Struthio camelus: one gene and its partner. The protein of the gene in region 1 interacts with the protein of each later gene in a biochemical or structural test. Links are inferred from orthologs where the notes say so. Each region holds a gene or a part of one and is shown in the gene's direction. Other genes may lie near its edges.

The links.
Region 2: the proteins of FGFR2 (region 1) and FGF7 form a complex in vitro, tested with the Homo sapiens proteins (3 studies listed by BioGRID). The link is inferred for Struthio camelus from reciprocal best matches to the Homo sapiens genes FGFR2 and FGF7.

The regions. Positions count from the first base shown.
Region 1 is NC_090948.1:6,146,653-6,154,841, forward strand, and holds the start of FGFR2 (fibroblast growth factor receptor 2), read left to right. Parts: upstream 1-4,645; 5' UTR 4,646-4,680; coding exon 4,681-4,688; intron 4,689-6,923; coding exon 6,924-7,180; intron 7,181-8,189. UniProt on the Homo sapiens protein: Tyrosine-protein kinase that acts as a cell-surface receptor for fibroblast growth factors and plays an essential role in the regulation of cell proliferation, differentiation, migration and apoptosis, and in the regulation of embryonic development.
Region 2 is NC_090953.1:12,915,512-12,922,956, reverse strand, and holds the start of FGF7 (fibroblast growth factor 7), read left to right. Parts: upstream 1-4,445; 5' UTR 4,446-4,568; coding exon 4,569-4,633; intron 4,634-5,161; exon of another isoform or gene 5,162-5,461; coding exon of another isoform or gene 5,462-5,508; coding exon 5,509-5,747; intron 5,748-7,445. UniProt on the Homo sapiens protein: Plays an important role in the regulation of embryonic development, cell proliferation and cell differentiation. Required for normal branching morphogenesis. Growth factor active on keratinocytes.

The DNA.
Region 1 (8,189 bases):
GGGCCTTGTCTGTCTTTTCTTCTGCTTGAAACCTGGAGCTGTTGTTCCTATTTCAGTTCAAACTGTCACCTTTAGTTCATGATGGCTTTACTGCCCTTGCTCCTGAACCTCAACAGATTGGGGCTTATTTACCTATTCACACTCCACTGTGGAACCTCATTAATAGGCTTATTAGCCACACCATTCACGTGCAGGAGGGCTCACAAAAAAGATTCCAGCCACTTTGAGAGGAGGAGGAAAAAACTGTAAAGAGATTATGCTCTCATTCAGCAGCCTAACTGCTATGAAAGGCTCCCTGGGCCCACTGAGATCTCTTGAAGCCTAAATATGATGACAGAATTGATCCCCCCACCCCCTTTAATTCCAAACATGCTTCTGCTTTTCTCAGATTGAGGAGTGGGGCTGCTGTGGGCCACTTTTAAGAGAATGTGGCTCATTTAAGAGAATAGGGTGCTAATGACAGACTGCTATCTTTTCATTCCTCAGAAGAATAATTCCTGACGAGTGCTTCCAGACATTGGAAATAGGTGTTCTGATTTGTCATTTTTAGTGGAATGCTTCCTTTTCTTTCAAAGTATGCAAAGATATCGATGAATGGGGAAAGGTATTGCAGCTTCCTGTGTTAGACAATAATTTATGTGAGAATGCATTAACAGTGTTTTCAATGGGCAATGGACATGCTTGGACCTGGGAAAATTGGACCTTGACTGTGACATCTCAGCTTCTCAATTAGAACATTCAAATGTCTGTGGCTCTAGGAACCAAAAAAAAAAAAAGAAAAAGAAAAAAATGTGTTTCTAATCAATTACAAATTTGTCTGCTGTCCCTCACAAAGCCTGCCTTGCTGCTGGTGATGGTGGGAAAACACTTTCTGGGAGGTAAGCACATACTCTACAGAAAACTTGTTTTCAGGTTTTTTGCTGTCTGGAAGTATGTACAGAGTTATACTGTTCTGTGGGGTCACAGTCCTTGAAGATCCCCTCTGCTGATAGAGCACAGAACAAAAAGGTACAGTGGAGCTATGCTTAAATAAAGCAACACTAAGTTGATCAACGCTGATTTAATTTGAGGCAACTGCCGCTTATTGATTTCATTGCCGAGCTGATTCTACAAAGCAAGCATTACACGGACTCTGTATTAGCAACCTTTTAGTTAATGATATCTAAAGCAAATGTTTTATTAAGCAAGTATCAGTTTAACTTGCACTGAATTTTAAATGCTAATATTATGCATTGTTCTAAATCTTGTGTGTGCAGGCAAATAAGATCTGATGAACTGTTTTGACAGCTTTCCCTCCTTGGGCACCACATACAGAATTATTAAAGGTGTACTGTCAGAGGAATCCAAAACAGTTGAAATCAGGCTCTGCGCTAAAAGGGCTCCTGAGACGAAGGTGATTTTTTGACTGCATGTTATCTCATCACCCTCGCAGGCTGGAACAGGCTACGGATCAGCCAGCCATGGCCCTAAAAACTTCAAGAAAGATTCTCCGGGAATGTTGTGCTGGTACCATTTCTGCATGAGGAGCCCAGTCCTGCCCTGCCTACGCCGCCGGTGCGGGCCGTGGCCCCGGTGCGCGGAGGGGACGCAGGCGGGCCCGGCCCCGACCCAGCTGCCCCGGGGGGGGGGGGGACACGGCCGCCCCCTCTGCCCAGCCGGGAACACCGGGGCGCGGAGCGCAGCCCTTGCGCGGGGGCGGGCCGGGCCGGTGCCCAGCCGCGCTGGCTGCGCGGCGGCTCCGGCAGCGCACGGCACAGCACCGCTCCGCTCCGCTCCTCTCCGCGCCGGGCGGCCGCGGGGGAAGGGGCTCCGCGCCGCGGCCGCCGCGATTGGCAGAGGCGAGCAGCGCCGTCCAGGAAACGGCTCGGGTTGCAGCGGGGGGAGTGACCAGGGGAGGGAGGAAGGTAGCCGGAGGAGTGTGCAGAGAAGAGAGAGGGGAGGAAAAAAAAAAAAAAAAGGAGGAAAAAAAAAAAAAGAGGAGGGTTGTCGGCTTGACAAAGCTGCGGCGAGTACGGGAGGGAGGCTGGATGGAGCGGACCCGGACCCGCGGCGCTGCGCTCGGCGATGCCCGCGCGGGGGACGAGGCTGCTGGCGCTGGGCACGGCCGGGTCGCCCCTCTGAGGCGGTAGCCTGCCGCAGCGCAGCGCAGCGCAGCGAGGGGACGAGCAGTCGGGCCGGTTTCTGCCTCGCCTTCCCAGCCGCTGCTCCTGCCTCCCCGCGCAGCCGTGCGCCGAGCCGCGTCCCGCCCGCGCCCCGCGGGGGATGCGCCCCGCTGCGCCGCTGCGGGCTTGCCAGCCGGCCCCGCCGGGGCTACCTGCGGAGTGACCCGCGGCCGCGGAGGAGTTTCTCCCCGTCCCGCCGAGCCGCTGCGAGGCACCGCGCTTCGCCTCTGCCCGCCTGTTGCGGCGGCAGCGGACCCTTCCCGCGGAGCTTTTCTCCTGCAGGTAAACGGCACCCGCTTGGGTTTGCGCCGGCGCGGGGTGGGATGGGGAGGGGGGGAGCGGGAGGCAAATGCAACCCCCCCCCCCAAAAGGCGAGGTGGGGGCAAGGTGGCCGAGAGCGGGACTCCCCCCCCCACCCCGGCTTCTGGGCGCCGGAGCCGCCGGGGGCCTCGCACCTGGTGCGCGGCGGCGGTGGGGCGGGGCGGGCCGCTCCGCGGGCCGCGGAGAGGTGCGGGCCCGGCCGGGGGCGGCCCGCGGAGGGGCGCTGCCCCGCGGCTCCGTCCGCAGCCTGCGGTGCGGGGCTCCGCGGAGGTCGGGGGGGCACTTCCATCACTTGACCGTCTTTGCGGCTCGGGGTGCGGGAGCCTGGCAGAAAAACGGAGCCCGTTTGGTGCGCGGAAATCTCTGGGGAGGGTCTGCAGCGGTGACGGCACGGCGACACGGTTAGCGGGCTGCTTTTTAGGAGGGAGGCTTAACCTTGCCCCCCCCTCCACCCGCTCCCGACCCCCGGAGAGGTGCTGGTAGGGCCGGGGGCGCAGGAGCCCCCGCAGCCCCCGGCCGCCGGCGCCTCGACGGGCCGCCCGGAGCCCGGCGCAAAGGCGGGGAAAAGCGCCGAGAAGCGGGAGGTCCTCGCCCGCCGTGCCCCGCCGCGATGCTCGGGGTTAGAGGGCCAGGCGGTACATAACTGCCCCCGCCTGAGATAAGGGGCGGGGGGGGGGGAGAAAAGAAGAGATCCTCAGTGAAATATATATTTAAATGCAAAACGGCCCGTTCAAACAGTGATCCATTATGCGTTTGGTGTGAAACGCTATCAACATTTAAAACTTCATTGTCTCCTTTGTACCAAATCCCTGTAAATCTTCCACTAGCCTTTACTCATTTTCATCTGAAAAGCCTGTTTGGGCTGAATAGACAGCAATCAGCAGCCTCTGGACTTCTCTCTCTCTCTGGAATGTCAATTAAAATGCAGATTTTTTTTTTCTGATCTCTTAGTGGCAAAAGACTTGAGAAAAACAGGATAGTCCTGGAAAGCAAATGAAAGAAGTTTGAACAATGAAAAAGTATTGAAGCCGCCAGCCGTTTCCCATTAGTCCTCCAGAATTAATGTTTAATAGCTGTGATGCTCAAATCTACTTGGAGATTGAACAGTGATGAAGAGTCTTGTTGTCTATATATGTATATGTAGATATATATGTGAGTGTATATATACACACACACACACTTGTGTATTTATGTTTTTCATACATGTGATTATATACATGCGTAACAGTTAGTTTTAAAGCTTCATGTACCTAGACTTTTCTGATGAAGCTACTAGGCTGTTGTTAGGGCATCTGGGTTTTCTTTGAGGAGGGAAGATTCATGTTTCATTCAGATTTTGCTATTCCGTGCCTAGTAGAGAAAGATGCTAAAGAGTTATACAATGAGCAATGTATTGATTTGGTTAACATACGCTACAAATTGTACTCTCCCTGGGGAGTGATAAACATCTTATAAACAACAATGCAAGTAGATTAAAAAGAACATGGAGCATTGAATTTAATTAGTGCCACTGCTGAACAAGTACTACTTGTTTGTGTGTGTGTGTGTGTGTGTGTGTGTGTGTGTTTAAACTGAAGTACAGCTTGGAGGAATTTGGTTAGGCTCCCAAACCAGTCTGCTTTCCCATGCTTGTCAGTTTGGCACAGAAATTTGGGCAGGTATGTGACGAGGTGAAAATTGACTTGATGAGCGAGTGGCAAGGAGAGCCATCAATCATTGGAGGCTGACAACTCCTCCCCAAAGTGTAGGCTGAGAAGAGAGACAGAGTTCCCTTTCAAGGGGAAAAATAAACACTACGTGTGGCTTTCACTGAGTCTGAGACTCCAGGAGGGATTATGGTATTGTAGTCAGGAAGCCAGAATTGTGGAGGCCAAAAAGCATGCTGGGGCTGTGTTCCAAACATTGAGATAGAGGTACATAATTATCCAGTGCAGGAGGTCTTTCCAGAGAATCGTCCCCCAGCAACTGTGGCAATTAAACTATGAAAAGAATTTGGTTTCATTTCTTTTTCATTGGACTCTGTTTTTTTGGGGGAAAGGGCAGTCCTTGAACCATGGTCACTATCATGGCTGTAGAAGGTGTTTTGGTTCCATGGATGGACCCAGAGCTCTGATTTTTGCTTTGCTACACCTTTGCAAGATATTTTTAAAATTTTCTGTTGTCCTGTGGATGAAGAATCCCTTCTTTCTGCTGGCAAATGTTCAGGTACAGAAACTGTCAAAAATCTTCAGGTGAGAAGGTGCGTTGGCAAGTAGCCCTGTGCTACAGTTCAGGACTTAGTATGATGGTAGGAGCCACATGCATGCTTTAAATCACTTTTAATGTAGCCTAAAAGCCTTAAACAGCTGAAATGTGAACGGAATTGATGCTGTTTAAAAAAGAGTCTGGAATATATGTTAGCATTCCAGTATGTTTTCTTTTTTGCGAAATTATGATTAAATTTTGCATTTGTATACGTAGGCTTTAATCAGGTTTCACAGGATGATTTGTGGAAATTGAATTAGCATTACATGCAGTCTGTTAATTGGGATTTTTACCCACTCTACAGCTGGATAAACTGAGCCACAGCACTGTGGCTGTCAGACAGTGAGTCAGAGGGTTGATCTGGGTGATAGTGTCCAGGAGGGCTTGCTCCAGTCCTTCACCAAACACAAACCAGTCTTCAATTCTACACCTGCTCTGCACTTATTTAAAGAAGAGGTGTTCAGAGAACTCTTCACAAATGTTTATGCAGTGGTCTGGTGGTATTTTCACTGAAGATTTAATAGTGGTTGCTAGCTTGTGGTCTGAAAGAGGATGGAGCATTGAGCTGATACTAGTTGAGGTGAAAAAAACTGACTTCAAATACCATGGCTTCACTAGAAATACCACGTATTAATGATTTTTCCCCAACTGTCTTATTTATGTCTTCTAATATCCATTTCTACTGACTCCAGAAATTATTGTGTATAGTATCCCAGAAAAAACACCGCAACAGCATTTCTGCTCTTAATACGGTGTACCTGGTTTGTATGTACCAGGTCTTAGCTAAAGGCTAATAAAATTTGAGTACGCTTTTTAATGGTTGCCTTTACAGAGGGAGAGAGTATTTGTCTCTGTTTCTGAGTACAGCATGTTGAGGTGCTCTAGTGTTCTGCGCATTCAGATGGCAGGGAATTTTGAGAAACTTTCCTTTATCCCTTTGTTTCCCCCTCTTCTTTTTAAGGGTGAGGGCAGGAGGGAAAAATAGGTTTTATGCTTTTTTTTTTTTTCCTTCAAGATGGGCACCCTCAAAACTTGGGTTAACTTTCATCATGTTTAAGATTGATCATTGGCCAGATTAGAACAATTGATGCAGTTACTTGATTTATCCATTCACTGAGGTATACTCACTTTTATTTTTGGAGAGGAAAATAAGGTGCCATTTTCTGGATAAGCTGTTAAGCATGAGGATGCTCTTCAGACCCACACCTGGCATCTTGGTGTGGTGGTCACTGGGTCTGACGCTGAAGGCAGTGTCAAGTAGTTTGATGCTGTTTTTTCTCCTCTCTTTTCCATCAGCGCATAGCTAATTTACCGAACAGTCATCTTCGTCTTAAATGATCTGTTTTGCAGTGAATGAAATAAACATTTCCCCCTCATTTGTAAAATACATATCAATGAGCATCCCCAAGCGAGAATGAGCAGAAATGTGCGTGCATGGGTAAGCGTGCTTTGCAGCTTAGCATTGTGTGGATGGAAAATGATGCTGGGGAGATCTCCTGTGAAACGGCAATCTATATCAAACTTTATACGGATTTTAATTGCCTGAAATCCCCTTTAATTAAGAAGTACCGCTGCAAAGACTGGACCCTTTTACCTGTACTGGATTCTCAGACATTCAAATGGACACTGAACTAAGCTAGGCGGAAGGAAGTGTAGAGAAGAGTTGGAATTCAGGCAGTGATGCAAAGTTTTCCAGATTTTCTAGCCTAGAGAGTATTTTTCAATTGTTTTCCTTGTAGAAGATTACTGAATTATTGAAAATTCAGCTGACTGCAGAACTGCCTAGGTGAAGGACTGAAAAACAAGGCAAACTTACATAAACTGTCAAACAGTAACAAGAATACAATTTGCATAATTGTGGTAATTTTGTAATATTAAAGGTTATGTGCCTGCACATGTGCATGCTCTTATTTTTTTAAAGCTATATATTTTTCTGTCATTAAAATAACTCTCTAAATATGTGCTGAGAAGTGATTTGGGGAAAACAAGGAGGACTTGGTTACGCCTCAGGTGATGATGGAAACTGCTAACAGAAAATGAAAAGTCACTCACTTTTCACATATTCTTGAGGCTGGAAAACTACTTTTCCCATCCTTCTCCTCCCACTCTCAATCCTGTTTGGGGCTTTGTGAAGTTTTTTTGGTTTGCATTTGAGATGGTTTCACTGACACTGTTAAATCTCTCTTTCTCCCACAGCAGCAGAAGACGTTCCAAGCGAGGAGGTATTATCGTGGCCGAAGGCACTGCTTTCTGTCCATGCTTCTGTAGAGGTGTTCAGATGGGATTAAAGTCCACATGGAGATATGGAAATGGACCAGGAATTTACACTAAAAAGATGGTCAGCTGGGATTCAGGTTGCCTTATATGCCTGGTGGTGGTCACCATGGCTGGACTTTCCCTGGCTCGACCTTCATTTAATTTAGTTGTTGAAGACGCCACGTTGGAACCTGAAGGTAAATCAGTCTAGAATGCTTAATTCTGCAGTATAAATTAATTTTAAATGCCTGAATTTTTGAAATAGAAATCAACATCTTTCTGTGCTTTGGTAAATATAAGGCAAGTAACAGATTAGTTCTCAAAAGTTACGTGTTTTCCAACTTTTCCTGTTTACACATGGGCCGTGTTCATGCAAGGCTGCGTATGGTTAAGCATATGCAAGCGAGTGGTGTCAGTGATTTCACTTAGCTTGTCATCACTTCATATAATCTAAATGTACGTGTAAAAAATCTAAATGTACGTATAAAAGTTTTCAGGAATGGATCTTTAAGAAAACCAGTGTGTTGCGCTTACATGCCTGTTACATATTGACATCTCCAGAAATGCAAATGTTTGTATTGCTGCATGCCTTTGTGATTGTAACTACCTGAAAAGTTAAGAGGAAAAGAAAAAGCCCAATAATTTTTCGCTGTATGTCCTGGTGAGTTGATTTTGCAGGGCACTCTGCTAAGAGAGTAAAAACGGGTGTCTCAGCGTTATTGGTGTTTGTAGTTAGTTACTATAAATTTCCCTATTGTTGTTCACGTCCAAAAACAATCAGTGCGCTCTATGGATTGCAAATTGTAGGAGTGTGAATGTTTATATTTGAATAGCATGAGTAGCAGTTTATTCCTGTGAAAGCAAAGACTAACGGAAACAGTTATATTGAAAGAGATGTCTCGATGAAACCTCCTATTCTGAGCCTTCATCTAGTGGTATGTTCTTGTAGATATATCCTTAACATAAACTTTCCAACGTGCTTCCCCTGTGTAAAGAGTTAAGAAAAGGCTGGGTTTTTTATTAGCATGAGTCGGCTGTATTTAAGAATGATAATACTATTTTCTGTAGGACCTTTCCTGCTCTCTGAACACCTTGCGGGAAGGGGAGGCTTCCTTCATAAGGCTGTTGTCTGCTGTTCAGTGAAGTGGTTGCTTTTGTAATAACTCAACTATCAAAACAATATAGTAGTCCATAGATCATTTTCGA
Region 2 (7,445 bases), on another chromosome or scaffold:
TACAAAGAAACATTTGACTAAGAGGATAATTTTCCATTCTCAATCAACCTCTGTTCAATAGGCATCATTAGTAGATCAGTGAAGCCACAGTTTTAAACCCAGAAAAAGAAAAGAAAAGAGCTGAAAAGCCTGCCATCCAAAATCTGCCTTGCAATGGGCTCCAACTAGAAGGAACTAAAGTTGTTTTCTAAGATGAAAAGACTAGCAGGCAGAGAGGCTAATAATGGGTATATATTATCATGGCAACAAGGCTTTATTATTGCTTTAAACTTCATTCATGTATTATATTCTTCTTATGTTAAAAACTCTTATGAGCCTTGAAATGCTTAATGAAGTAAATCACAGTAATAGTTATGCTTTACATGTACCCATGTGAAGGGCTAAAAATACTAGCTTGTTTGAACACTTAAAAACAAAAAGATAGAAAACATTTGTGTATCCCATTCTTGAATTATATGCAGTATTCAAATCTGTGAATAACTATACTCAGAGACAAAAGCAGAGCTTGAAGACTATTTCATATTTATTACTACTAATAGTCATGGGAATAATATTTTTGGCAATGTTTTAAAAAAGATTTTTCAGCAAAGTTCTAGGAATCTAAAGTCTTAAACTTAACTCGTATCCAACCGTGTCTATAAAAAGATGCTGCACATCTTAAAGCAAAAGAAATAAAATATATTTAAAATCCGGCAGAAGAAATCGCTACATCATAAGTATTCTGGTAAAAGTAAAAATTGAATACAAACGTGCTAGTCACATAAAAAACAGAGGCTTTCCCAAGTTCATACCTGGTAATAAGGTAAACCAAACTGTTCTCTTCAATAGTTTATCATCTCAATTTTATAATCTTTCCACCTTCACCAAAAAGTTACTGTTACAATTCAATTCTGCATCTTACATTATGTTAATCACACTCCAAGTGTCCTGATGTCATCACAAATGGAAGGATTCCCTGAAGCTGACTGACAGCACGGATTATCATTATCAAGCTATTAATAGCAAGGAGACCTATTATAACCATGTACTATGTAAGCTACATTGAGAAAGGAGAGATTCATCCGACTCCCAGAAAGTTTATCTTTAGAATCCCACTCTGCTTTATTCCGGCTATCTCCTTCAAAAGTCAGTATCAGTGACTCTTTCTCCTAGGGAAATAAGCTGAGATGCCTTTACCTCTTAAGCAAGAGGTAAGATAGATTACTGATAGAGCTAAAGTATTCCCATCCTTTATGTTTCCTAAAATAAGTTACATACAAATAATTTGCAGGAGTTAATTAACAAAAAAAGAAAATTGTTATAGATTTGTCAATTACTTTACAATAATTTTTTTCTTAGAATCTCCTGCATCCCATTCCAGTTTTCCTGTAGAATTAAATCAGCTCGACGTGTTCTAGATGAATAATGGAGTAAACAAATACAAATGAACGATGTTTCAGGGATTTGTTTTGAAAATTGCTAAGAAAACCATGTTTGCCTCCAAAAAGTAGCTTCCAAGGTGAGTGAAGAGAGATAAAAGATTATTATGTGTTTCTGTTTGAATTGGAGGCCTGGGCACAATCCTTATAACTGGAAACAAAGTGCTTGCTGTTCATTTGCCGTCTTTTCAGGACGCGCACTGCAGCAGTGCTGTGAACATTTGCCTGCCAATCAGGCAGAAACCGAAACAAGGGTTACTGTAAAGGGAGCAGGTTGAGTTAAACATTAAAGGATGGCTTAAAGTGTGTGAATTTTATGCATTTCTCTTTAAGGTTTCATGTTTCCTGTAGTCATGATGCCTTAACACATTTCTTCAAATACATCTTGCCAAAGAAATACAAAATTTCTAGCATTTTAGGGGAACTATTTCTCTGTTTTATTAAAGAATTGCTTGGGGTTTGATTTTAAAAGTCCTGGGCATGTATGTTTGTAAGAAGATAGAGGAAGAAGTGAAACTCAAGCCAACTGCATGATCTTCCATAAAACTAAAATAGGTCAATTTGAGAGAGGAATTAGTTATGCTTGTCTTGAACAGAAGTGGGCTGAATCAATCAAGGGACCTGAGATTTATGTGAGAAATCCTGACTTGCGTATGCAGATCAAGATGGCGCTCCTTCATTAAAAAATATGCAGTTGTACTTATATAGTAAGACATAAAACTGTGTGATTAAACAATACTACAGTTAAAACATTTTGGAAAAAGTTATTCTAAAATTAGACAATGTGAGGACATGAAAGTTAGCAGTAATTAAAGATTAACTACATTGTTCACTGACTAAACTTACAGCTAGTGCCTTATTTAAACTGCTTTTCAATTATTCTAAATACAAAACTTCATAAAGATCTGAACTGAAGCACCACTTCAAAATATACTTAAGGCAATTGATTTATTCTGCAGAGCCAAGAGAAATACATGCCTATGCCTGGACACAAGTAGCTCCAGCTTTCTGAAACTGAAACTTCAGGTATGTATTTTTCCCCCTCTCTTACTAACAGTCAGAAAAAGAAACAGCAAGTTAGTAAAGAGAAAGAAAAATGAAAAAAAGTAAGTATGGATCTGAAAGTGAAAGTTGTTACTGCTCATAAAAGACTCAGAATATTTACAAAAATATTTCTGCTTGCATCCTACTTTGAGAAGTAAGACATAGATTACATTTTATCCTTCATTGCTTTCTTTATAATACACAATAGATAAGCCTTGTGAATGCCTCAGATTTTTTTCATTGCTATCATTCTGAACTCAGGCTGTGGAATGGATCTGAGAACATACTGATACACACACAACAAATGTACTGGCAAAAGCGCAACCGCAGCAAGTCCTTTCAGTTGCCACTTCTGGTCAGAATAGTAGTCATGGGTTGACAGGATACAAGCAAATTGGGAACAGCAGTGATCACAGTTTACAGGGGTTAGCCTTAATGAGAGCCACTTCCTTGTGTATCTACTGGAGGCATCCAGCCTCTGAAAGGTACACAGTGCCACCTCTTCCCTACCTTGTGAGGTGTATACATCAAGCTCTTTGCTGAATTAGGAAATTTTAGTTGAGTGACAGAACACGCAAAACAGCCCAATAGGCTGAAACGGAGATAATGAGAAGGAAAGTTGATTACCTTTGGACTTTGAGGGAAAATAGTTTTAAAAAAAAAAAGTTGCAAGTGACAAATGGGATTAATCCAAGAGAGCTCTGAGGAAGAAGTCAGGGACTTCAAGGAAGGAAATGATCCATTCTCTATGTTTGTGTACAGGAAAGGCTGGGTAATATAAGGTCCCCTGGTGTCATATACCTTTGATGCTCATTTTGGAATATTTCAGTGAAAAACCCTGCTTTACTATGTTCCCTGTACCACAAGGTGGCACATACGTACTCCCTATCATTTTTAAATGCCTCTACAGTTTGTTAATCAAGTTTTAAGAAGTAACTGTTCCCATTTCTACAGAGTGAGGAGTAGGGGTGGGAGAAAAAACAGGGAAAGACAAACTACAATATAGTACCAATTATAGACAACTAAGGCAAGTAAACTGTTCTTGATGTATCCATTCCTTACAGAAAACCACAGTTTCCATATGTTTTACAAATACATTCATCAGAATCCCAACAGAATCTTTTCAGGCTGAAATGGAACATAGGCTTTGGATAGCAGGCTAGTGCCACAGCTGGAAGTAAGCATATAGAAGCGGAAAACCTGGCATATTTAGCCATTACTTGGATCCTCTACAATTTAAGCCTGCTGGTCATCCATTGGTCAATGTGCTGTATATAGGTGTTACTTGCATTGCAGCAACTTTTCATTCTCATGTTGTGAGTTTCAGGACCTAATAACTACATATGCTAAGGAAGACTGTTTCCTAGTAGTTCTTTTTCTCCTTCATGCTGATAAAAGTTGTGCTTGAATGTCAGATATCCAAATATATAGTCTTATTTTCCCCTAGTGGCCAATTAAATAAAAATCTCAGTGATTTTCTGTGCAGTTGCTCCTCTTTTATAAGTCTATGATACACAAATGCGACGCACAATCTATAATGGCCACAGCACACCCTCTCCACAGTACATAACAAGCCCACATGTTTCATTTATCCATCAGAAAGGCAGTAAGCAGAGAAAACAGTATGAATCTATCAAACTGCAAAAAAGATTTGAAGGAAAACTGAGATAAAGGTGTGTGTGAAAGAGAGGATTTATTTTTTTTTTAAGGACAGAAAAATATTGACTTAAATCAAAGAACAGAAACGCTAGCTGGCACGTAAAGCAACACCATAGGATATACGTTTTTAGAAAGTAGATTCTTGGGAGATTTAAAATATAAACTATGTACATAGCTCCCTCTGATGACCACTGGACACTATACAGCACAAGTCTCCTTTTATTTTTGTTCGTGGATTCAACTGACAGCTGACTGGTTAAATTCTAATTGCTTCCAAGTGAGGTCAGCAAAGGTATTTATCGAAAAGGACTGAACAACAGGCTCAACACACACATGCATGCATAAGCACATACACACCATCTCTCTAGCGTCTTGATTTATGGAAACAATTATAATTCTGGTGGAGTCTTTCTGAGCTCAGAAAGTCTGTAGCTACAGCACAGTCTCATGTTGCAAAACGCAGACAACAGAAATGGAATACTTGGGTATCCAGCTGTTATCAACAGAAACAAGTAAGTTATCTGCCCTTACAAGAACGTTCAACAGTTAACTAATAGCTAATAGCTTTTATCTTGATTTCTATTTGTTAGACGCTAAAAAAGTGTTGACTAATTTTTCTATCAATAAACTGAAAATGAACGTATAAAAAGAAAGCAATAAGGCTCCATGTGGTCTCTCTTGAAATTTGGACTAGAGAAATGTTCTCTGATAGAATGTGGCTAATAGTGAAGATATAGGTACGAAGTAATCAGTAGTATTTTTCAGTGCATGAGAACATAGTTCAGCTGACTTACTAGGGTTTTTTTGGAAGGACTTATAACTGAACTGAAGATAGAAGTATGTTTACAATCAGTTTAAATGTCTGTTTATGTAAAAAGCTATATAAAGATATCTGTTGTATATACATTTGTGTATATTTAAAAACCAGCTTAGCATGTCATACATTTATGTACGGTACATTTAAGTAGTATAATATATTCTTGCACGTTTGTAACGACTGATCATAAAATACTTACTTACACATGCAACTTTTCTCACAGATCTTTTACTTGCAGTGCAAGCAGCAAATTCAAGTAGTACAGAAGGTCACAGCAACAAAGGTTTTTATAACTTGTGTCTTTAAAGGATATTTTGACTGAAAAGATATTTAAGAAGCTCTTCCATTTCGCCATTAACTATTAAGGAATAAGGATCAGAATTCTTAGAAGAGGGAACAATCTCATTTAAATCAATCTGTAACTCATAAAGACAGAAGGCAGGTCGGTGACCTAAGAGCAACAGTCTACTTGAGATTTAATTTTCATTATGTTGTTCATGAACACCCAGAACACTGCACTATAATGCACAAATGGATACTGACATGGATCCTGCCAATTTTGCTCTACAGATCATACTTTTACCTTATCTTTCTAATGGGCACTATATCTTTAGCTTGCAATGACATGACTCCAGAGCAAATGGCTACAAATGTGAACTGTTCCAGCCCTGAGCGACATACCAGAAGCTATGATTATATGGAAGGGGGGGATGTAAGAGTGAGAAGACTTTTCTGTCGAACTCAGTGGTATATGAGGATTGATAAGCGAGGCAAAGTAAAAGGGACAAGAGAAGCAAACAACAACTACAGTAAGTAATATCTTTTGCTATCTGCTATTTGTCTTCTAAGTTTTTAGAAAAATCACGCATCATTGTTTCCTATCCCTTAACTCACAGTAATTTCAAAATAATTTTGTATAGCATACTGACCATTGTATAAGACAAGTTTTCCAACTAATCCTACAGCAAACATTTGTTATTGATTTTGAAATGCGTCATTTTAAATACTACATTGTAGATCTGCTAATGTATTAGTTACAGCTGGTAACTATTAGCAAACAGAGAGCCTATTTTAACAAGTGAATTAAGGTTGTAAGTATGAAAATGCTTAACCACAAATTCTGCTCATAAAATACTTATGAAACATTAAACCACATTTATATAGTCCACAGACTACCTACAAGTTTAGTATGTTTGAGTTAACAATTAAAACATATGCAATACTAGAAAGTTCAATGGAAAGAATTATGTAAACTGTCTTACAAAATCTTTTAGATATTTTGCCAAGTCAGGAACAAAATCTATTATAGTTTCTGCAGTTCATTATTACAACGATCATGATGATGAAAAAATATTCTCTCCTCTTTCTTCCAAAGAGATGACTCATCTAGAGAGAATGGACATATAAAATTTTGCAAAGTCCTACCAAATACAATTTTTGAACTGGCAAAAGAATCATTGTTCTAAAATATATTTTTCACGTATATACCTGTAGAACTTTCATTTACAACTACTTGAAGGCATCATTTTTACATTCACTATTTTTGCCAATTTGGCTTTTTTGTTATCACAAATATAGTGTATATTTGGAGTCCTTTAAAAGACTCTATATTCATTTCTTAAAATATAGCAGAAAAAAGCATAGGATTTTATTACATATTTCAAAACAAAATGACAAGGAAAAAGGGCCAGAGACATGCTGGTCTAGTGTTTACAGTCTACTGAAAGGACAAATATCTGTCCAAGAATGCAATTAAATGGAGTTTTAATGTATGTTGCACATATTACTGTGCCTTATATAACAGTTAAAAAAAAAAAAAAACTTCAAGAACTGTTAATGTGTTTCAGCTTTCAACTGAAGATGACTGCTTATTTTCTACAAAAACAGCACTTTTCAATGCTAAGTGCCTAGCTAGTGGGCTTCATAATGTATTGCTCTACTTCACGACTGCATTAAGTATTTGGCATCTTGTGTGGCTAAAACTTCATTGACTAATGTTACTTTCTTTTAAAATTTGTTTCTATATGCCTGCTTTCTTCCTACACTATTATATTCTGTAAAACCATAATGATCTGAAAGGTACCACATGGCCAGAAGCCAAATAAATTATTTGGTCCATATTCAAGACTCTCTCCAAGTTTCAGGAAGACAGTGCTAGAATAAAGACCTATAGGACTAGTTTAGAAGTGAAATGTTGCTCCCATAGACGTCCATAGAAAAACTGCTACTGACTGTTGAAATAGTTTCTTCTTTTTTTTTTTTTTTTGGCGGAGAAATTAATATCCATTCTACCCATTTTGTTCCTGTTATTATTTAGACAGAAATACTTTGAAGAGATTATGTCAACATATAGAGCTAAATAATTATATAAATTTGCTTTTTGTGGTCCCATGCTGCTTAACTAAGGACTTGGTTAGTAATTGAGCATTATTTCAAAATTCAAGCAAAGACTCTCAATGCTCTGCAGGATTCCATGCTGCTGAAGCACGCTAATGATACCCTGAAAT